3 linked regions of the Alligator mississippiensis genome follow. The protein of the gene in region 1 binds, or shares a complex with, the protein of each later gene. Links are inferred from orthologs where the notes say so. Each region holds a gene or a part of one and is shown on either strand. Other genes may lie near its edges.

Region 1 (7,119 bases):
TAACCAGCAAGTAGTAGTAATATTAACTGTCCAAATTCTGTGCTTATTTACATGCCTTCACCAAAGTACTATTGGGTTAATTGATTAGGAGCTACATTTAGTAGACAGCTATATTTAGAGGCTCTCCTAAAAATGCCATGACTGGTGTTTCCAATGAGATTAGAAAACTGTCATTCTCGAGTACTGGACATCCAATACTCATGGGTGCTAGACATGAGACGAGCTGAGCCAGCAGATAGCAGAGCCCTCCTCTGGAACTCACTCACCAGCCATCAGTGAACCAAAAGTCCTACCACTACAAGATTGCTGCTAAAATATTTCCTCAGATGTGTTTCCCTCTGAGCAAACATTATTTTTTAGCTGTTTAGGGCCCAAAATCTGTGCGACAAAATTTCCCTTCTAGCTATAGAAACATCATATGCAACATCAAAGCGGTGGTCGTTTTCTAAACCTACCTCTGTCTCCTAGCTGGCAATGAATACCTATGGTGAAACACAGAAGGATCTTAGATACCATTGCAGGAACTTGGACTATTACAGAGATGTTAGACAAATGAAGTACGACATTGTCTTTTGGTTATAAGAGACAATGAGCAGGCTGTAGAAATAACTTTAAAAGAACAAGAATACCAGGTGTTAATTCATTCTGTAGTTCTCAGCTAATATACTAAGAACCTGGAATTTCTACTCATACCATAGCCACCACAATGTGTGCATCAATCAGCCCTCCATCCCAACGAAACTCATCTCTAACCACTCAAAGGATAACACTATGTATATCATCTAAGCTGGCTGCAAATCAAAAACTACTCCCACACTAACCCGCTCTGTTTCTTAAGGGCTAACAGGATACCCACTTCTGTTTGCTCAGTTTTATCTGGAATTGTAATTTTGGCCCAGAGAAACCTGAACTTTGGTCAGGCTCCTGAAAATAAGCTGTCTAACCTTCTTTCATATTAGCAGTTAAAGACTACTATCTGGGCAAGGTGAGGCTTGCTTTGATATATGAAGGACCACATAAAAAGGATGAAGAGACCTTTCCCTTCTTCCAACAAGAATTAAAAAAAAACAAACCTAATTACAAATCCCAAATGAAATGTAGATCCTATCACTTATCAGTAAACTTAGTGACACATAAGCATCTTTGCAGCTGGCTTGAAAATACAACAAAGCTATCGGCTCCTAACTAAGGCCAAATTCACAGGGGAAAGACTATGTGGATACAAAATACAGAAGGTGGCTGTGCGTTTGAAAGAACAAAGAACAAAGTAAGTTCTCTCTATAAACATGTAAAATGGAATTTAATCCATATGCCTACAACAAATCCTGAGTCCGTTTTATTCCTCTCAGCAACAAAAATGTATTCAGTTGTCATGGAATCTACTGTTGTTTAGGTTATCTACCACAATGACAGTATTCACCAAGGTGTCGATAACCTCCTGACAAGGATTCAGTTATTCATTTCCTTATGTTTTGTTATAGGCAAGTGAGTGGGAAGATGTTACAGACACTGCAATCTCTCCTCAGCTCAGCCCCATGAAGCTTTCAGCCCAAGCCCACGTGCCCAGATCAGACACCACATTGCCTCAGCCCAGCACTGCACACCTGAATTTGGCCTCATGCTGCTTTGTCCCAGCCCTGCTGATCTAATGCGCAGGGCCATGCTATCTGGCCTTCTAGGCTCTGCGTGAGTCCAGAAATCTGGCGGCAGGGAAGCAGCAACTAACATTGTAAACATCAATCACCTCCAGACCACCAAATTTTCAGATCCAGGGGGAACCCACAAGGCTGAACGACATGGGTTCCTGGATTGATCAGACCCCTGGGCCAATCACACAATGTATAACTAGGGACCTACCCAACTTGCAGTGAAAGAAAGCAATTTTCGTGGCTTGGTCACAGCCCCAAGAGCTGAGTTTGTAGTCATTTGTGGTGGCCCCTCCCCTCAGCATTGACTGGTGGAGAGGCCCTGGGGGAGGAAGGATGAGGGGCAGCTGACATCTTGACTATTGGCAACTCTTTGTGCCGCCCTGGCCCTTGGCACTGGTTGGTAAAGAGGTACGAGGGGGAAGTATCTTGGCTGATGCTCCTTGTGCTGCCCACCAGCTGGTGCCTTCCCCTCCCTGGTGGGCTGCAATGGCAGGCCACAGCAGCAGCAAGAACCGCTGATTCCCACTGAGGAGCCAGCATTTTCTTTTTAAAGGGGTTTTTTTTTGGTCAATTTCCTGGGATATCACCGCCAATGCCAATTTTCACAATTTCTGCAAAAAATGCAAAACAGCAATTTAAGTAGGTTCTCAGGTATAATGCATTAAAAACAATCTCACATCCACTCAGTCTTCCCTGGAAGTCCTAAAAGATACAAAAATGAGAAACTCAAACCAAATGAAACAGCAGACCCAATACATCTTAATGCTCGGGCAGATTTTAGTACAGAGGCCTTCTGAACAGAATTCCTGCCAAAGTTACTCTAGAAAATAAATACAGCTAACTGGGATTTTTTTTTTTTTTTTTACACCAAGGAACTGGAGAAGAAACTTGTTCTCCAGGAAAAAAAACCCCTCAAGGAAACTTGAAGAGTAAAACCTGTACTATAGAAAGTTATCCTTACTGCACTGATGGGAGAAAGTTACTACAAATGTTATTGTGATAGAAGTGGGAGCTTATCATATTCATGCAAAAAGCAGTAATTGACACACCTTTTTCAATATATCAGCAGAAGAGCTTTCAACTTCTGATATCTCCAGTGATCTGAGGCAGCAGGGTAGTTAGTAACATAGGACTGTTGAATGGCAGTAATTTAGTTTGAACCAGCAAGGAGTTATCAGAAGCTGAGCTTTCTGCCAGGATGTTCAAACCATGACCAGTTAAGAAGAAAACAGAAAATAAAAACAGGAAATCCTTGGCAGAGAAACTCTAAGGAAAAGCATTAACTGACTAAACCAAAACAGAGAGAAGCTGAGGAGACTGGCACCTCAGCGTAGAGGTTTTCAGCGGGAGGCTGGATAACAACAGCTGACCCTACTGAGAATCTACCCTGACACATGAACATTTAAGTTTGGCAACTGAACTAGAGCTCCTGAAAGTAATGAATGTGTGTCGGGTAGCTGGAAAGAAATTCGTCTCTAGGGGAAGTTAAGCTTCAACATCGGGGGGAAAAATGCAAAGTAGCCGACAAGGCTGGACCTGAGCAGCAGCCTGTTTGGGGTAAAAGCGCCCTGCCTTGGAAGCAAAGAGAGGGGGGAGGAAGGGAAAGGAGCAAAGCCCTGCTCTCCCCTGCCGAAAGCCCCGCAGCTGCTGTGGCCGCGACTCGAGTCGCCTCCAGACCCATCAGTGAGCGCGGCAGAGCTGTCCGGTCCTTCCGCCCGCGGGGCTCTGCCTGCCTGCGACGCCCCAGGGCCGGGCGGGCCAGGCACCTGCGCCGCCCGGGGCCACCACAGCCGAGCAGCTCCGGCCGTCTGCGGTGGAGCTCACGCCGAGGCAGTGAAGGCGGACAGGAGCTGTCGCAGCCCCGCGAGCTTCAAGTGGAGCCTGGGACCAGGGAAAGCCCGAGCGCCGCGGGCGTCAGCGCGGACAGCTCCCTCCCTCCCCAGCCCGGCCCCGCGGCGGCTCCCTGGCGCTGCCCTGCGCCGAGCGCCCCGACTGGGAACAGCTCGGTGAGACCCGCGGGAGGGAGGAAAAGGGGGAGAGGGAGAGAGAAAGAGGGACGCCCCTGCCCCTCGCGCCCCGCGGCGGCGGCCCCGCCTCAGCCCCGCGTCTCTTACGCGCACTCGTAGCGCGGCGAGGCGAGGAGGCGCCGGGGACCCCGGTGCCGCCGCCGCCATCCATCCATTCCGCTCCGCTCCGGATCCCTCCACCCGGCGGAAGCATCCGCGCAAAGAGCGCTGCGGCCCGCCCAGCTCCCTCCCCCCTCGCTCCGGTGCGGCGCCGGTCCCGGCCCTGCCGCTGCTGCGGGCGGGGGCGGGGGTTAAAGGCGGGCGGCGGCGACTGCGCGGGCGGACCCACCCACCCGCTCGCTCCGGCCCGGCCTGGCCCTTCCCTTCCTTTCCCTGCCGCCCCCTCCCCCGCGCTCGCCGTGCGCTGCCGCTGCGGGCTCGGGCTGGGGCTGCGCCGCGCGTGTGTGAGCGGGAGGGAGGGGGGGAGCGAGTGAGTGCAGAGCGCGCCGCTGCCGCCGCCGCCCTCCTGTCTCCTCGCTGCTCGCTCGCTGCTCGCGTCGCCGCCATGGCCGGCTGGCAGAGCTACGTGGACAACCTGATGTGCGATGGCTGCTGCCAGGAGGCCGCCATTGTCGGCTACTGCGACGCTAAGTACGTCTGGGCAGCCACGGCCGGCGGCATCTTCCAGAGCATCACGGTGAGCGCGGCGCTGCGGCGGCGGGGCTGGGGGACTGCAGCGGGCGCTGGGCGCTGTCGGGGCTTTTTGTGCGCGGCCGCCCGGCGAGGGGCCTGCCGGGGCCGGGGCCGGGGCCGGGCCGGAGCCGGGGTCGGGCGCTGCGGCGGGGCGGGGGGGGCGCGGGGATCTGCGGCGGGACTTGCGTAGGACTCCTTGCGCCGGGCCCAGCCGCTGCGGACACACTTACGTGCGCGGCGTAGGAGGCGTTCGTGAATCCCCCTGGCCGCGGCTCCATGTTTTTCATGGCCAAGATGGCGCCCCGCCACTGGGCTTTTTCTCCCCTTCTCCCCGCGCCGCGCCGCTCCCTTCCCCCCACCAGCCCCTTGCCCGGCCCGGCCCGGCCCGGGGGAGGGGCAGCCCCCGGGGCAGGGCTCCGAGCCGGGCATCCCCGCGAGCCGGGGCCGGCCGTGCTGCAGGCGGTGGCTGCGGCCCCGCCGGGAGGGGGAAGGGAGGGGGCGCGGGCCGGGCTGAGGCCGCTGCAGGGCCGGGCCCGGCCGGCAGGTGCGTGCGGGGGCGGCGGCCGCCACGGCCCGGCCGGTGCCCGAGGACGCCTCCGCGCCGGCCTTTGTGCGGGCGGGCCGGCGGGCAGTGGCGGCCGTGATTGGAAATGGCCGGGCCTGCCATGACGGTGCAGTTCTCCTGCAGGGCGACGCCTCCTTCCCGACTCGGCAGTGCGAGGCGCAGCCTCCCAGCCCGCCTCCGGCCAGGGGCGGCCGGGCCTCAGCCCGGCTCCCGGCGCGGGCCGCTGCTACGCAAGCGCGGGGCAGGGGCAGGGGCTGCGGGCGCGGAGGCCGCCGCGGGGCGCGGGCTGCGGAGGGAATGCCCCGCACCTGGCTGCAGCCCTGCTGGCCCTGGGCTGGGCGGCTCGGGACCGGCGGCCTGACTCATCCCCAGCTGGTGGCAGTGGCCTTGCGGTGGGGCAGCCCGTGACTCAGTGCTGCTGGCTCTCCCCGAGGGACCTGGCTCCGGTGCAAACCCTGTAGCCTCAGGCTAGGACTGTTGGGACTATGATACTTAGACCTGTGTTTAAGATGATACTTAGCCCACTGCCAGGAGCAAGGGGCCAGATCCTTGTTAAGAGTTCCCTTTCAGGAAACCACTGTAAGCAGCCAGGTTGGATTTTGCTGGTGTCTAACATCAGATTCTTTCTTTTTTTTTATCCTTTCCTTTTCTTTCCTGCTTCCCCTTGACAGCCAGTAGAAATTGATATGATTGTAGGTAAAGACCGCGAGGGTTTCTTCACCAATGGTCTGACTCTTGGTGCAAAGAAGTGCTCTGTGATCAGAGATAGCCTGTATGTGGATGGTGACTGCACGATGGACATAAGGACAAAGAGCCAAGGTGGCGAGCCAACATACAATGTTGCTGTAGGCAGAGCTGGCCGAGGTAAGGTGTCCTTTTGAAGCTGACCTTAGTAAAACAGGAATCCTGCCTTCAAAACTGGACTGAAACCACTTGCGTTATCTCTATAATGAGACCTTCAGTTTAAAATTGCAAGTTGGCTGTGGTACATGTCTAGCAGTCACAGGTGTAACTGAAATAAGTGACTGTAATAGAGCTCTTGGCCATACCTTATCAAATCTGTCCATACTTATCAAACGGTATCCACAAACTCTAGAGTAGCCCATATTGCAGCTGAAGGAGATGCAATATTACCCCCTTGCCCTGGGCATATTGCATTTAAAATGTTTGGTGTTCAGAACATCCAGTGAGGGAGGGTGCTAATGCATCCTGTTGAATTAGCAAGTGTAGTGTAAACCTGGTCTGCAGTGACTGCTGTCAATTTCTAGTATGAAGTAGTCTTAAATTACAGGACATCTAACAAGTCTTACTCTAACTTTTCTCATACCTATTGAGAGCTTTTGAAATGCATCCGATTGATACCTCAGTTACTTACAGTAAGCTTGTTTAATTACTGGTAGTGCACCTTCCCTAAATTTCTGTAACATAATGCTACTTGGAAGAAGCTAAACTCTATCTAGACTTCAAAAAACTGGGTACAAGCAACACAAGTATATTCAAGACTAAGCTTGGCATTCTCAAATGTTTTGGTTTTCTGTGAATGTTACGTCACTAACCAACGTTCACAAACGAAGTAACTCTAGAGAAAATATTGTTTCATGAATCTTCACATAACATGGAGATTCTAACCTAAGTAGTATAACATTAGTCAGACTATGTAAAGATATCTGACTCTAAAATAGCCTTTCCTTACAAGAATAATAGACTTGCCTAACCAGAGAATGCTTACAACGGTTTTGCCTTGGTACCCCTACGAGTTAAATTCACTTCTAAGAGCTCACTAATATAGTTATGATGTAGGCAGTGTATCTATAGTAAACTGATTCCAGTGCCACCGTTCCTAATTCAATAAACTAAGAGCCATTGTGCTTGAGAAGACCAGAATGCTTATGTAGTCTATATTCTAGTGACATCTGGTGGCAGTTAGAATATACTGTTCTGTTAACTACATCTTTGGGACAGGCTTCCCTAGTAAAGCATAGATACTTTGTAGCCTAGATAACTGAATGGAAAGAGGAAGAACAAGATTAATACTAAGATTCAGATGTCCTCATCTGACTAGAGAGGATAAAAAAAATTTTTAAGGCCTTAAGACCTAAGCTAAATTGGGCTTTTTTGTGCTTTTTTTTTTAAATTATTTTAATAATGATAACAATGGCATTTTGGTTACCAGTAAGGAACCAGACAAAACAAAAGTTGGTAGGAC
Region 2 (7,541 bases), on another chromosome or scaffold:
GCCAGCTACAGACGAGGTTGTGTGATGCACAGCTGTGTGTGTGTCCAGGGGCCAGAGTTGTGTGTGTGTGTGTGTCTCTGTGTATGACAGTGCTCTATATATGCATGTGCATGTATGTGCACAGTTGTGTGTGGGTGGGGCAGGGCAGGGCAGTGAGCACGTGTGTCTGTGTGCATGGCAGGACTCTGTGTGGGTCTGTGTGCATGTGTGGTGTGCACAGTTTGTGTGTATGTGTGTGGCAGGCCTGCGTGTGTGCACCCCCCCAGCCCTGGCTTGGCCCCACTCCAGCCTTGGCCCTGGGCCCAGTAAGCAGCTGCACTGGGCGGCACCAGAAGACCTGGGTTCAGTTTCTGCCGTGAGGTCCGGACCTGGCTGTCAGAGCCAGTGGGGTGAGGGTAGGGGCATCAGTGTGGGGCCTAGATCTAGCCTCTGGCTCCTGCCCCAGAGGTTGGGGGGTTACTGCTTCTGGGAGAAACCGCCCCCTCCCCAGCACCACAGTGTCTCCAGGGGCCCCTTACCCAACGCCTGTCCCCAAGCTGGATCCCCCAGTTCAGTTCAGCTCCCCCCTAGAGCAGCACGTGGGGGGGGGGGGGGCTGTGTACACAGTCCGGGGCTCCACCCCAGAACCAGCTGCCTTCCAGCACCAGAGTGTGGGGGGGTGGTCCCCTGTGTACCACTCCCCTCCTCGCTCCACCCTAGAAGTAGCTGCCTTCCAGCAGAGAGAGAGAGAGAGAGAGGGCGGGGGGGGGGAGAGAGAGTGTTTGTGGAGGGGGTCCCGATACACACAACCCCCTGCCTCTCCCTCCCCCCAGAAGCAGCTTCAGCGCAGCCCTCGGCCCTGCCCCCCGCCTCCAGCTGGCTGCCCCTCTGCCCCCCTCCCCGCACCTTAAGCAGCCTCTTGCCCGAGGCGGCGGCAGCGCAGAGCCGGGGGGGGGGGGGGGGGGAGTTCAGCACCGCCCCTCGCCCCGGCCGCGGAGACCCCGGGCGCCGTGAGCGCAGGGCCCGGCCCAGCCGCGGCCGCCGACGTCGGTGCCGGAAGCTGTGACTCCATCGCGCTCCATATCGGGCCGCGCTATTTCGGGCTTGGCTCGGAGCTGCTAAAAATAGCGGCCGCGGCTGGAAGCGGGAGAGGGCGGGGGCACCGGGCTGGGCACCGGGCATGCACCCCCCCCCCCCCCCCGGGCACCGGGCATGCACCACCGGGCATGCCCCCCCCTACCCCCCCGGGCATCGGGCATGCACTCCCGCCCCGGGCACCAGGCATGCACCACCGGGCACGCACCCTCCCCCGGGGACTAGGCATCAGGCATGCAGCACCGGGTATGTACCTCTCTGGGTACCGGGCATGCATTCCCACTGGGGATCGGGCATGCACCCCGCCCCCCCCCCTTCCCGGACATGTACTCCCTGGGCATGCACCATGCACCTTCCTGGGCACTGGGCATCCATCCCCGGGCACTGAGCATGCACCGCCCCCCCCACCCAGGGCACCAATCATCCAGCCCCCTGAGCAGTGGGTACTGGGCATGCAGCCACCCCCACCCCGGGGCAGCAGACATCCACCTCCCTCAGCACTGGACATGCACCCCGCCCCTTCCCCGGGCACAGGATCTCCCCTGCACCCAGCACAGGGCTCCTGCAGGGACCCCCATCGGACATCTCTCTTCACCAGGAACCGGGGCACCGAGCATCTCCCGCTGGGCATGCAGGGAGCCCTGGGATCTCCTCCTCGCTGCCCCGCTGCACAGCTTGGACCCCGGGCTTCTCCCGCCCGGCACTAGGCTCTAACCCCGGGCACCAGGCTGTCCTGCGGGCGTGCGGATGCACCAGGACTCCCCTGCGCGGGGGACTGGGCACCTACATTGCCACCACCTCGCCCGCCAGCCGGCCATGTGGGGAGTACCGAGCCTTTTCCTCAATGTGTCAGGGGAGAGGGGGGAACATGTGAAGAAGGACGGACAGACGGATAACAGGGTGCAGCAGAGCTACGGGGCAGGGTGGGGGGGGCACCTCTGGACATTCTCTCCACTGCCGGCCAGACTCCAGGATGGGTTTTGCCCTGTGCCTATCTGCAGAGATCCCAAAGCAGAGTCGCGCTGCCCCAGATACCTACTCTGCCCCTGCGCGGCGGGGGGGGGGGGGGGATAGCCATAGAGGGAGCCCTATCACAGACCCCCCCCCCACCCCCAAATGCAGGGCCAGCCCTGCCCAGAATGCCACAACCCACAGAGAATGGCACAGGGAGATGACAACTTGGGTGGGCCAAGAGGGCAGCCCCAGGCCCCACACCTCAGCCAGTCCAGCAGGCAGGAGAGAGAACCCAGGAGTCTGGTTGTCACTCAGTGCCCATCACAGAGGATCCTCATAGGGCATGTGGCTCTATGAGGGTCCCTGGCCAGGCCATGGAGCTGCCCGTGCTGGGCTGGGGAGCGAGTGTGAGGAGCTGCAGAGGGAAGTGGGGGATCAGATGGTGGGGACCCCTTGTGTGGACATTTCTGAGCCTGGGACGGGGACACCAGGGGCCAGTGTCTGAGGCTAGGATGCCCCAGCTGGCTGCAGGGGGGCATGGAGCCAGTGCTCCCACAGGCTGTGCCCAGCCATGGGGCTCTGGGCCTGGGAACTCATAGGTGGTTTGCTTTCAGAGTCCAGGGGCCTGGTACCTGCCTGGCAGCCCCAGCCCCTCCCCGCCAGGCATGCTGGACCCCCTCCATCCAGCCTCACGAGCCAGTGGGGGGGGGCGCAATAGCTCCCAGCCCTGCTGCCCTGAGACATGACACGATGTAGCCCAGATGAGGTGGAAATTTCCCAGCATTCTCTAGGGCAGCCTTTGCTCTGGGGCGCTCATGTGCCTGGGCCTTGGGACTCCTGGGTTCCACCCCCTCCCCTGCCCAACAGGTTGTCCCCCTGCGTGGGGTGTGGGGGCACTCGGTATCTGCGGTGGAGGCAATGCTGGAGCAGGGGCCAAGCCGACGGCTGGGGGCGAGGGGGGTGGGGCTGGCTTTGAGACCCCAGCTCCATGCTTTTCAGCCTGGTGGGGTAGGGCTGGGTTCTCCAGGTGCAGGGGGCCTGAATGTGCCCTTGGAGGGGGTCACACCCTGGGTAGGACACACTTAGCACACTGAGCCCCGGGGGCCTTGGCCAGGATCCCCGCGGTTTTGGCTGGTCCCATTCTTAGGGCTGGCGGGGGCACAGTTCTGCACCTGCTGCCGGGAACCCGGGCGGAGGGTTCTTTGGAGAATCCAGGAGTCCTCCAGAGCCAAGAAAATAACCCAGGCGTCCTGGCCGCCCCCAACTCTATCCCTCCTCTACAAGTGCTGGACTTAGGCGTCCTGCCCCCCCCATGAGATTGGAGCCAGGAGCCCCGCCTCCCAGGGCCAGGGGTAAAACCCAGGCGTTCCGGCCTCCACCCCCAGGCATGGCACCCAGGCGTCCCGGCCCTTATCCCCCGCCCAGGAACAGAATCCAGGCGTCCAGCCCCTGCCCCTTGCATTTGAGACTGGACCGAGGCGACCCGGCTCCCCACGCAGGCGCGGAACCGAGGCATCCCAGCTCGGCCGGCCCGGCCCTGCCCGGCCCCGCAGCGCTGACTCAGCCCCTGCGCTCGGCGGCGTCAGTCCCGGCCTCGACCGCTATTTTTAGCCGCGCGGCGCTAAGAATAGCGCGGGGGCAGCTGCCTTGCGGGGCTGCCCGGCGTCAGCACCGCCGGCCGGGACCCAGACCCACGGCCGGGTTGGTGAGGGGGGGGGGGCGGGCTGTGCGGGCCGGGCCGCGACCCAGGTAGGGGCAGGGGCGAGCCCAGGGCCCTATAGGGGAGGAGCGGAACTAGGACCTATAGATATGGAGGAGAGGATGCTAGGGACCCCTACAGAGGTGGGGCGGGGCGGGGCCGGCACCCTATAGGGGCAGGGAAGCGGCAGGGCCGCGAGCCCTGTAGAGGTGGGGGAAGGGCAGAGCCAGAGCCTAGACGGGTGTGGGTGAGGGGTCCTGTAGGTGTGGTGGAGGAGTGGGTGGGACTGTATAGGGGTGAGGGTGTGCCAGAGCCCGGACCCTACAGGGGAGGGAGAGAGGAGAAGCGGGACCAGAACCTGGTAGGGGTGGGGTAGGAGCCGGGCTGGGGACCCCTATAGCTGTGGAGGCGGGGCAGGGTTGGGACCTCTATAGGGGAGGGGCGGGGTTGGCTGGAGACGCCTATCGATGCAAGGGTTGGGTAGGGCTGGGTCCTACAAGGCTGGGGGGGGTAGCTCTTCCCCCCCCCCCGCGTTAACGCCTTCCCTGCCGGCTCATCGCCGCTCCCAGCAGAGCTCCTCTGCTGGAGACTCCCTGCATGGAATGACTGGCCGGAGCCGCCTGCGGGCGGCGAGACCTTGGCTGGGACTAGGGTTAGGGCTGAAGGGGCTCCGGGATTCCCGACTGGATCAGGCTCTTCCTCTCCGGCAGGGGGACCCAGGAGTCCCGGCGCCCAGGTCTCTGCTCACGCCGGATCGATGCAGCCCCTGGGTCCCAGGCCTGGCTCCGATGGCATGGGCACGACTCAGGGCGGGAGATGCGGGGTACGTGCTGTGCAGTCCCGATAGGGGTCGGGGTCGGGCTGGGGACCCCTGCAGGTGCGGGGAGGGGCAGTGGCCTGAAGAGACCCAGGGCCCCTCCTCCCGCCGCGACCGGGATGGATTTGATCCTCCTGCATTAGACCTCTTGCAGCTGCAGCTGCAACCTAGGAGTCCCGGCTCCCGGCACCCCGCTGACCCACTGGCTCTGGGTGTTGAGGAGGCGGACGCGGGGCTGGGTTAGGGTTGGCCCTGCTGCCCCCCCCCCCATGCGAAGCGGGATCCCGAGGCTTGGCCGGGCCGGAGGCGCCACCGTGCGGCCCAGCGCAGCGAAACAGGGGCACCCCTCCCCGCCCAGAATGAACCCAGGAGTCCTGCCCCAGGAGTGGGGTTGGGGCCTCTGTTCAGGGTGAGGGCCACAGCCTGGCCCAGGTGAGCCAGGAAGGGCAGAGAGGTGGGGGCCAGGACGCCTTGGTTCTATCCCCTGTCTGGGAGGGGAGTGGGCTGCGGTGGTTTAGTCTGGGATGAGGGGGGTGGGGGTGAGAGTCAGGACTCCTGGGTTCCCTCACTTTGCTTGGGGTGAGGATGGCTCATGGGGGAGGAGGGGAGGGAGGAAGTCCTCCTCTAGGGCAGCCATGGCTCTGGGGAATCTCTCACTCCCCAGCCCAGGATCAGGGCTCAGGCCTTGTCTGATACCCCCTCCTCAGCATGGCCTGGCTGCCCCCTCCCATGTCAGGCAGGTGCCCAATCAGCTCCCACACCCCGGGGCAGATGGAGAGGGGGTTGGGGAAGGTGGAGGGAGGCCAACTGTAGCTTGCCTCTGAGGTACCTGCCTGGTGCCAACAACAGAACCCAGGAGTCCTGGCCAGACCCCTCTGGCACTGCTCCCCCCTGCCAGGACAGGGGTCTCAGGGAGCCACAGCAGCCTCTGAGCACCAGGCTGCGGGGGAGGGGCACCTAACCTGAGCAGTTGGGGGGGCAGGAGGGGGGCGGGGAATGGGGATAGGATGCCTGGGTTTTGGGGATGGGAACCCAGATGCCTGGGTTCTTCCCTCCCAGCTAGGGGAGAAGAATGCGGTGTATTCAGCTCCATCCCCACCTTTTCCATGGACAGGACTCCGGTTCTGTGACAAGAGTTTTTATTAAAGTGTAAACCCCACACAGCCGGGGTGGGCATGGGTAAGGGAGTGGCTCCTGCCCCAGCTCGTGCCCCGGAGCACCAAGCTGCCCCCATCCCCAGCCCATCCCTGGGTAAGCCCCGTCCCATCAGCGCCAAGCATCCCCCCATGGGCAACTTGTGCCCAGGGTGGCAGCAGAGGGGGTTCAGGTGGAGCGGGGCAGGGTGGATGCTCATTCTGCCTTTGCTTTGGCACTTGGGAGCTTGGCCTGAATCCTGGAGGGGGGCAGAGACATGTCACATGCCGGGGCATTGCCCTGCCCCCCTGGGGCTCCCAACCCTGTTCCTGCCCCCTGGGAGTCCCTACCCTCATCCCTGCCCCCACTGGGGACTGCATTACACATGACCCCCCTCATTTCCCCCTGCCAGCTGGCAGGGCAGCCCCCATGCACTAGGGGTGCTGTTCTGGGGGGGAGGGCAGTGCTGGAAGCCCCCCCCCACGGCACTCACTTGGCTCGGAGGTGACTGAGCTGGTTCCTCACCAAGCCCACGTACTGGTCGATCTGTGCCTGCAGGAGATGGACTGGGGGTGAGGCAGGTGGGGAGCCCCTGGAGACCCCCTCCCTGCCTGAGATAGCAGGACACAGGGCTAGCAGCCTGTCTCCCCCAGGGACACTGGCATTCATCTGCCCTCTGCTTCAAGGCTTTCTCCCCACCCTGCACATGCACACATGTGCACACACTCACCTGGTGATGCCGGTAGAGCACAGGGAAGGTAAATGCACTTATCACACCTGGGGGAGAACAGGACAATCAGACTAAGCCATGCCCCCCCAAACCCTTGCCCTCCCTGCCTGGGCCACTCCCTACCCTGCCCTCACACAGCTCCCCCCCATTTGCACACAGCCCCAGCCAGACCATGCCACCCCCTCCCCCATGGTTCCCCTCATCCCTCTCCCACTGGGCCCAGATGCCCCCCTGCCCCTGCCTCCAGTGCCCTCTCACCCATGAGCAGCAGTGTCAGCCCATTGAACACGGCACCCACATAGGTGAGGATGTAGAACAGGAAGGCGAACTGAGGGGGCAAGATGGGGGGTCAGCACAGCTCCTCCTACCCTAACCCAGGGCCTGTGGTGGGGGTTATCCAGGGCCTGGTTGGGGGCAGGATCAGGCCCTGGCACAACAGCATGGGCAGGAAGGGATGGGGCTGATACCAGGGTCTGGCATGGATTCAGCCCCGGGGGTGGGATTGGGGCTGTCTCTGCCCATGGGGTGGGTGTGAGGCAGACCACTTGAGCAGGGTGTGGGGCCCAGGGCAAAGCAGCCTGTGCGGGTCCCCGCCCCCAGACACAAGGAAGCCGGTGGCAGATTTGGCAGCGAGGAGGGGGGTGGCAAGTGGCTGGACGTGAAGCCAGCAGCAGTGTGGAGTCACCACACCGTGCTGCCCCATCCAGCTCTGTTCCACCCCACAAAGCATCGGGATTCACACCCCCACCCCTGCCGGGACAGCCCTCGTGTGAGGTCACAGGGGGCAGCCTGGGGGTACGTCCTGAGGGCAGCTGACCCTCCCAGAGGTCACCGGGGGTTACTGGGGGTCAGGGGCGAGGGCACCTTGAGGGAGTCCACGAGGTCCTCGACAAGGAAGAGGTGGCGCAGGGTACGGGCACCAGCGGCCATGTGCTGCCCTATGCGCTCAGCCACATGCTTCAGCTGCTCTGGGGACAGCGACACATCTGTGTCCAGCAGGGGCCTGCAGCGGGGAAAGGGGGTCAGCAACAAATCAGATTCTACCTCTGCCCCCCACAGTGACCCCTGCTGGGGGAGCCTGGGGCTGGAGACCAGGGCAGGGGCAGAACTGGGGGTGAGTGGCTGGGGGTCCC
Region 3 (6,924 bases), on another chromosome or scaffold:
AGTAATGGTTTAGAAAAGATTAAGGCAAGCTCCATGTAGAATCTTGGCAGACTTCATTAACAGTGGCTGCCTTTCTTCTAATACAGTGGTTTTTCAGACTGTTGCACAATAGGTCATCATTGGTTCCACAAAGAGACGGGGTAATGGCGCAGGCTGGGAGGTGGTGTGCTGCCACTGCCATCCCAGATTGCTTGGCTCCATGTCAGCTCACAGGATAGGGGAAGGAGTTTCACAGCAGAATTGATATGAAAGGGTTCCATGACTTGAGAAAGTTTGAAAACCACTGCTTTAATGCAAGAGGCTCTTAAGTCTTGGCTAGGAAAATGGCTGCTTGGATTTACAGGAATGATTACATGACATTTTGATTATCTCAGAACAGAAATCCCCTGAATTTCAGGTTTCACTTGAATGCCACAAATGGTATGAGAAACTTACAAAATATCTTGGCTCTCTGCAGCAACAAAGGCCTGTGTGTTTAGAGAGCACGGAGGGACTTAAGTGCCCAATCCCAAATTAAAGTGCTTTTTCAACATCCAGTCTACTCATTCTCTTGTCTTCTGATCAGCTGTTTCATTTAGCTGATATAACAAACAAGCTGGGCACTAAATAGATTAAAGGGTGCAATTTTGTAAAGATTTTGGATAAGGTTGCAAATCCATATTATTTCATTGCCAAATAATAGAAGGGGAGACTAGCAGGATTTCACCTGCATAAGATAAAAGTAGTGGCCACAGAAGTTCAGCCAAATTATAATATGAGCACTACTTTTGTACTTGAAAGGAACCTTCAAAATTTGCTCAGGATCAAATTCACATCAGATCAAAAATCCATGAATTGTGATATACAAGTGTAACAGTCCCTTAAAGCAAGGGTTGCCAACCTGTGGCACATATGCCACAAGTGGGGTAGGCAGCTTCTGTGTGTGGCATTCAGCAGATCAGGAAGAGGACAGGCAGCAGAGCATCAGATTGGACAGGAAGCAGAAAGCAGAGCAGCAGACTGGGCAGGGAGCACAGGGCAGGAAACAGGAGTAGCAGATTGAGCAGAAGAAGGGGATCAGAGTGGTACTTGAGGAGTATGTAGATCCAATTTGTGGCATGCCTGACAAAATTTGCCCCCCCCCATTGCTTTAATGAATCCTTTTATTAAGCAATTAAAAAGAGAAGGGCAGGTGACAAAGGTTGGCCAGAGTGGCAACAAAAATCAGGCTTCCAAAGAAACTAATTATGGCAGTATTTACAATTTAGAGGCTCATTCACTAATTATTTTGACAGCAATGCAACAAAATCGCCAAAATGTCCATAACAACTATGGTATTTATTTACAAATAAATAAAAATAGACCAGTGTACCAGATCTATTGCAGTGATACAATAAAGGAAAAAACATGGAAGTACTTCATCATTAGAATTTAGTGATCATTATCTTGAACATACGACAGTGAAGCAATTGTGTATAATATTTGAAAAGCCTCAAATTAGGTCTCAATCTAATTCTTCAGAAGACTTTTGAAGACTACATTTCAGTCTTCTCAGTAGAGTTATAGGAGTGATTATCTGGTTCATTTTGGCATACATAGCTTTTGAAATATTTGGAGCATTTGGGAAGAGAGAAATTTCATAACTAACTTTCCTAAGGATTTTTTTTTATCCCCTGAAGAATTGTTTATTTTGGAGCCTACCAAAGAAGCTAGGATTTATTAATTGACAAGGGCACTACTTCCTTAGATCCTCATTAGTAAGAAAATGCCTGATATTACAATTCTGGTCTGGAAGTCATCTTCATTTCTCAGGAGACAGAGAAAGCTGGTCCTACTGGGATTAAATTACATTGTAGGTCTGGCAACAACAGGATAGAAGAAAGGAAGATTTCTACAATTGTGATGACACTTGGATTTTTTTTTTTTTTTTTTTTACAGTTGTCTGATCTACAGATCATTACAGGAAGGTGATGGGTATGGGCTGTTCTCTTGATAGTCCTGATGAAACAGTTCTAGAGTGAGGTCAGTATTGTAGGATAACAGGTTTTTGCCTATGCACAATAACCTTCCGGTGACTGGTACAGTATGTTCCAAGTGTCATCTTTCCCTTGTTTCCCTATGGCTCATTTCTATTTTCTCACTGCATTTAGGACCTTTTCATGAGAGTTCTTACAGCTTGAGGTAGTCAAGAAATGCGAAATAGATTATGAAGGTATTTCCATATGCTATTTTTTCTATTGCATTGGCATTTATAGTCTTTTTTTCTTTCACATAACAAAAACCTATTTAATATAAACTGGTAAAAATAATGCAGAATAATCTGAATAGGTTAAATAACAGGATTAACATTCCTAGAATGTCTCCTACTTTAGAATGTTTCTACTTCAAAGCATAACAATTCTTAATAAAAGGTTCCACAGATTCCAGCAGGACATGTTCAGCCTCTTGATAGAAATTATAAGGCTTAGCAGCAAGCAGTGTAGGATTAGTGATCCCACTCTCCAGCTACGTTTTTCTCACTGGCCTGGCTAGAGAGGATGGGATAGAAATTCAGGAAGCCTTTTGGCAATATCTTGGCTGGCTACACCTTGGAGAAAATGGGCTTCGAGTTTTCTGTTTGTCAGCAAAAAATGCCAGGCTTGTATACTACTCCAGAGGACATTGAAAGCTGTTCTTGAGAGAAGAAGGGTACAGCATTTTGTGCTTCCCTAATAGTAATTTATTCTGCAAGAGGCCTGTTCTTTGATTTTACTGCTCTTAACAGGCAAGTAGGAGTTGAGTTTGAATGACAGAAAAATCTGATAGTTTACCTAAAAAATACCCCATTCATTTTGGTGATATTGTATCTTTTGCTCTGGGAAAATTAATAAATACAGATGGTCTTCAACTTTAGAAACCATCAGCAGCTGTTTTTCAGTGTCAAGAGCATTTTCAGCTGAGCCACCTATAAGGTGACTTCCTTTTTTAAATAACGAAATGCAGTTGAGCAATTTTTAACTCCTAACCTGGATTAAATTTGAGGCAGGGGGGGCTGAGGAAATTTTAGGAATATGGGGGAGGGAGTCCATCACAAGTAAACCCTATTCCTATTGTTTGGGAATTCTTTGGCACAGAACTCCTCCCAGGCTCTGCTTCTGAACGGTGGGGCGTAGAGCTCAGGCAAGTTAGGCTGGTGGTTGGGTTTGGGCCCCAGCAGGGGCAGGACAGCTGACCCTTTTGTTAAGCACAAGGGAGATGGGCTGGATCAGTCTACTGAAGAGGAGGAATGAGAAGCAGCTCTGCAACCAAGGCATGCAGGGGCTCACCCCTCCTGTCCCAAATGTGTGTCCCTGCTGGCTTTGGCATGCAGCCAGTTCTGTTTTGTCATTATTATAGGCAGGTTCTTCTTACAGACCTGCAACAAGTGCCTTTGTGGTTCCTATAAGCCTCAGCCTCCGAAAAGGCTTTTCCCTTGGCTGTTGCAAGAATTGCAGGTAGAGGTCAGCCACAGCCGTCCCCGCTCAGTTTGGTTGCTTTTAGTGGCCTCTGATTCTCCAGCGGCAGCAAGTGAGAAGCACAGCCGGGATGGGATGGGCACAACAGGCTAAGCCTCCGCTGCTCTTCGGCCTGCGGCGCTGGGCGGCGGCAGGGACAGGCTCCCCTGGGCCCGAGTCTCCAAGACAGGCGCCCTGCAGCGGCGCCGTACCAAAGGCGCCGGGCCGCCGGCCGGCCTGGCGCGAGCAGCGGCAGGGCGAGCACTGAGCCGCGCTGCCTCCAGGCCGCGGGCGCGCAAGGCGCAGCTCCCCTCCGCGCCCGGGCGGCTGCGCTCTTGCAGGCCGGAAGCGGAAGTGCCCCCTCATGAATATGAGAGGAGCCGCGTCCGCTAATGAGATGCTGCCTGCGGAATGAGCGGGCGGGGCCGGGCGCGGCTGCAGCGGGCGGCCGGGCGGGCGGGCGAGCGAGCGGCGCGGCCTGAGGAGCCGGCGGCACTATGGAGGGCGGCGGGGGCTCGGCGCGCGTTGGCCGGGACAAGCGGCGGGGGAAGGGCCCGGAGGAGGCGGCGGCACCCGCGGACTCTGGCAAGTCCAAGAAATTCGTAAGTATCGCGGGGCCGGACCCCGCCTTTCCCGCCCGCGCTGCGCGGCCCGGCCTGGCCCGGCCCTCACCTGCCGCAGGTGCCTCCTTGCCGGCGGCGCCCGAGGAGGTGCCAGGCCCCGGCGTGCGGGTGCGGCGGGTCCCGCGCGGTCGCCGCCTCTGCCCCTGCCCCCCCGGGACGGACTTCGCTCTGTCTCAGCCCCGGGCGGTGGCGCCGCGCGCAGCCTCCTGCCCGGGCTGGGGCGGCCGCGGGGACTTTCCCGGGAGCTCAGCTCCGGCGGCGCAGGCCGGGTCCCGCTCGAGGCGGCGCGGGAAGCGGAGCCCGGGGCCGGGCTCGCAGTGCCGCCCCGCGCACTTGTCTCCGGGCTGGAGGGAGCGTGTCTTTATGGCGGGAGCTCAGCCCGCGGGCAGAGCTCGCCCTGCCTTTGAGCAGCGCCCTACTTGCTGACCATTTTGCTGGCTCGTGAAATGTCACTTGCCTGGGCCATACCGGTGGGGCCGCGGCCTTCGGTGGGATCTTGGGGGGCTCTTCCTGTTGCAACTGTCACCCCCCGCTGTGAGCTGGACGCTTGCTTGCCCCCTGCCACCAGTGACCATGCCCAGCTGGCCCCATGGCCCCAGTTCCCTGCCTCCTGCTAGCCAGCCCTGCATTCCTTGGCTACAGTCACAGGCAGGCTGCAGGGAACAGCTCCTGAGGCCACGTGTTTGATGCCTTTGCTGTAGGCAAATCATGTAGGTCCCTCAGCAAGATCCAAATTGAAATGTATTTGTAAGAAAGAGGAATGTTCCCCGGTAAAGTCTGAATGCTTGTAGGTTCTGGTCTCAGTTTGGTCAGTGCAGAGCGGTCCATTTGATTTCTTTCATCTTTTGAAAAAGGCTTAAAAAAAAGTGTATCCTTAACTCCAGTAAAAATCCCAGAGAAGATGAGGAAGCTTGTCATTTTGATGGAAGTTAGCAGCTCAAGTTAAAGATTAGATTCCCCTTTTGTTTTTAACTCGGATTTTAACTTGACCTGCTGACATGTATGAAAGGTATGTACTGCTTGGTCTGCAGTAGGATTTTAAACTGTTAGCTCACTTGGGTTAACATTACACCATTTGTTCTCATTAAAAGTAAGGATTTGGAGGAAGATGTTAGGTCTGCACACTGATTGGCTTACTTGGTCTTTCTGGATCCTTTCCTATTTGTGGCACGTATGTAACTCCAGGAGTCTCTATTGAACAATATTTTTTTCATTGTAGCTGCTTGTATGGGAGCCCTGGTAGCACAGATTAAGGTTTCTGATTGTTGACTGTTTCCATCTAGTTATGAGGGGTCACTGATCTGTTTAGTAGTATGTACCTTTCTCAGCCTTAGGCAGGCTCTGATGGTAAACCCTCAGAGGGATGTGGATTAACTGAAGGGGCTCTTGGGAAAAGAGATCAGTGGGACTGCTGTGGACCTTTCGACCCTTGGAATCTTATTTATGCAAGAAAAGTGTCCCCCAAGGGTGCTAGCTGAAGAGTAGGAGTACAAGATGATGCCTATAGATCAAACAGTGCTCAAGGCACTGAATGTACAGGGGCCTTTGCTAAGAGGTGGGTGTCTAATGTTTTGGTGTTTGGGACTGCTGGTTGGTTGCATGTAGGTTCTTTTCCCTGCCACAGTGTATTTTTCACATTTTGAATGAAGCTGCATTACTTCATTCAAAGCATCATGTGGGCAGTGTCCCTCTCTGATCACAGAGGAGTTGGCACTGTTGCTAAACCTTTCTGTTCTATTCTCAGGTAAATTTACATGTAGAGTGGGGCTTAACAGTGTATTGGCCAGGTTGCAGTGAGTATTGGATTTGGTGAATGCAGTCTAGTTTGGTAATCCACTTATTGCTGTCCATAAGTCACATAAAAGAAACAGGAAGGAAATGCTGATCACAGGGAGTGTCTCTTACTATATGTCTCATGCAACAGAAGGAAGCTTTGAAAGTATTAAGATCTTTAAGAGAGTTAGATACCCTTACAATATGTGGTATTAGCAGGTTTGTAATAACTTACATCTATGTAGCTCATTTTTATTCCAAAAGAATCTCAAAAACACATCACAAAGTACTTTGTATGATACATAGATCACTTAATTGATCATAGAAATGTTACCCATCTCTGGAAAGAAACGGTGTAGCACTTTGGGTAACACATATCAACTTTTCACAAGTATAGGGTAGGAAATTTAAAATACTACAATAAAAATATTACTGTCAACTTCCTCTGAATTAAGGGAGATTGAATGTAATTATGCAAACTGTTTTTTTGGATGTTGAAATTCATTAATAGTTATGTGAAAATAGTTTCCCCTCAAAAATATGTACTTGCTGCCTCGGGAGCCAAAGAGTTATTATTAGATGAGCTAAAGGCTTGTCATTTGTCTACATTTAGGATATCCTAAATTGGAGGTGATTCAGAGAAGATTAGAAATGGTTAGGGGGCTAGATGGACTGGTCTGAGGAAAACTTGATAGTAAAGCTTATAGTAAAGTTTGACTAACTGACCACTATGGGACAGGGAGTAGACCACAAGGGTGTGAAGGTGTAAGTAAAAAATATGGGTTGCTAGTGTTTGTATGTAGAAAAAATAATAGATACGGTCATCTTAAAGTGTAACAGCAACACAGAATCACTTTGCCAGCACAGCCTAAAAATGTTGAAACTGAAAAATCTTTTGAAAGCCAAATTACTTCCAGTTTATCTTTATTGAATGAAGTAAACCCTTTATAACTTGTAAAATCCAAATTTTGGGAATTGCTCTCTCTCGGAGAAAAGGAAAAAAGACTGAATATCAAACAATTCTTTTTTAATGATCAGACATTAATTTTTAAAACAGTTACCTAGTGGGGTACATG

The links.
Region 2: the proteins of PFN2 (region 1) and VASP are in contact, whole or in part, in a crystal structure (PDB 2V8C), measured with the Mus musculus proteins. The link is inferred for Alligator mississippiensis from reciprocal best matches to the Homo sapiens genes PFN2 and VASP. Residues at the interface, in NP_062283.1 of Mus musculus: Gly3, Trp4, Ser6, Tyr7, Asn10, Cys13, Tyr30, Trp32, Met131, Tyr134, Ser138, Phe140; in NP_033525.2 of Mus musculus: Gly165, Pro166, Pro167, Pro168, Pro169, Pro170, Gly171, Pro172, Pro173, Pro174, Pro175, Pro176.
Region 3: the proteins of PFN2 (region 1) and DIAPH1 are in contact, whole or in part, in a crystal structure (PDB 2V8F), measured with the Mus musculus proteins. The link is inferred for Alligator mississippiensis from reciprocal best matches to the Homo sapiens genes PFN2 and DIAPH1. Residues at the interface, in NP_062283.1 of Mus musculus: Ala2, Gly3, Trp4, Ser6, Tyr7, Asn10, Ala28, Tyr30, Trp32, Arg108, Met131, Tyr134, Leu135, Ser138, Phe140; in NP_031884.1 of Mus musculus: Ile635, Pro636, Pro637, Pro638, Pro639, Pro640, Leu641.

Annotation. Positions count from the first base shown.
Region 1 is NC_081830.1:61,625,892-61,633,010, reverse strand, and holds the start of PFN2 (profilin-2), read left to right. Parts: upstream 1-4,066; 5' UTR 4,067-4,220; coding exon 4,221-4,352; intron 4,353-4,578; exon of another isoform or gene 4,579-5,002; intron 5,003-5,584; coding exon 5,585-5,777; intron 5,778-7,119. UniProt on the Homo sapiens protein: Binds to actin and affects the structure of the cytoskeleton. At high concentrations, profilin prevents the polymerization of actin, whereas it enhances it at low concentrations. By binding to PIP2, it inhibits the formation of IP3 and DG.
Region 2 is NC_081838.1:110,311-117,851, reverse strand, and holds the start of VASP (vasodilator-stimulated phosphoprotein), read left to right. Parts: upstream 1-4,469; 5' UTR 4,470-4,515; coding exon 4,516-4,550; intron 4,551-5,666; exon of another isoform or gene 5,667-5,894; coding exon of another isoform or gene 5,895-5,937; intron 5,938-6,171; coding exon of another isoform or gene 6,172-6,230; intron 6,231-6,408; coding exon of another isoform or gene 6,409-6,455; intron 6,456-6,666; coding exon of another isoform or gene 6,667-6,736; intron 6,737-7,272; coding exon of another isoform or gene 7,273-7,411; intron 7,412-7,541. Other genes in the region: RTN2 (reticulon-2), read right to left, coding at 5,895-5,937, 6,172-6,230, 6,409-6,455, 6,667-6,736, 7,273-7,411. UniProt on the Homo sapiens protein: Ena/VASP proteins are actin-associated proteins involved in a range of processes dependent on cytoskeleton remodeling and cell polarity such as axon guidance, lamellipodial and filopodial dynamics, platelet activation and cell migration.
Region 3 is NC_081832.1:40,894,879-40,901,802, forward strand, and holds the start of DIAPH1 (protein diaphanous homolog 1), read left to right. Parts: upstream 1-3,909; 5' UTR 3,910-3,949; coding exon 3,950-4,054; intron 4,055-6,924. UniProt on the Homo sapiens protein: Actin nucleation and elongation factor required for the assembly of F-actin structures, such as actin cables and stress fibers. Binds to the barbed end of the actin filament and slows down actin polymerization and depolymerization.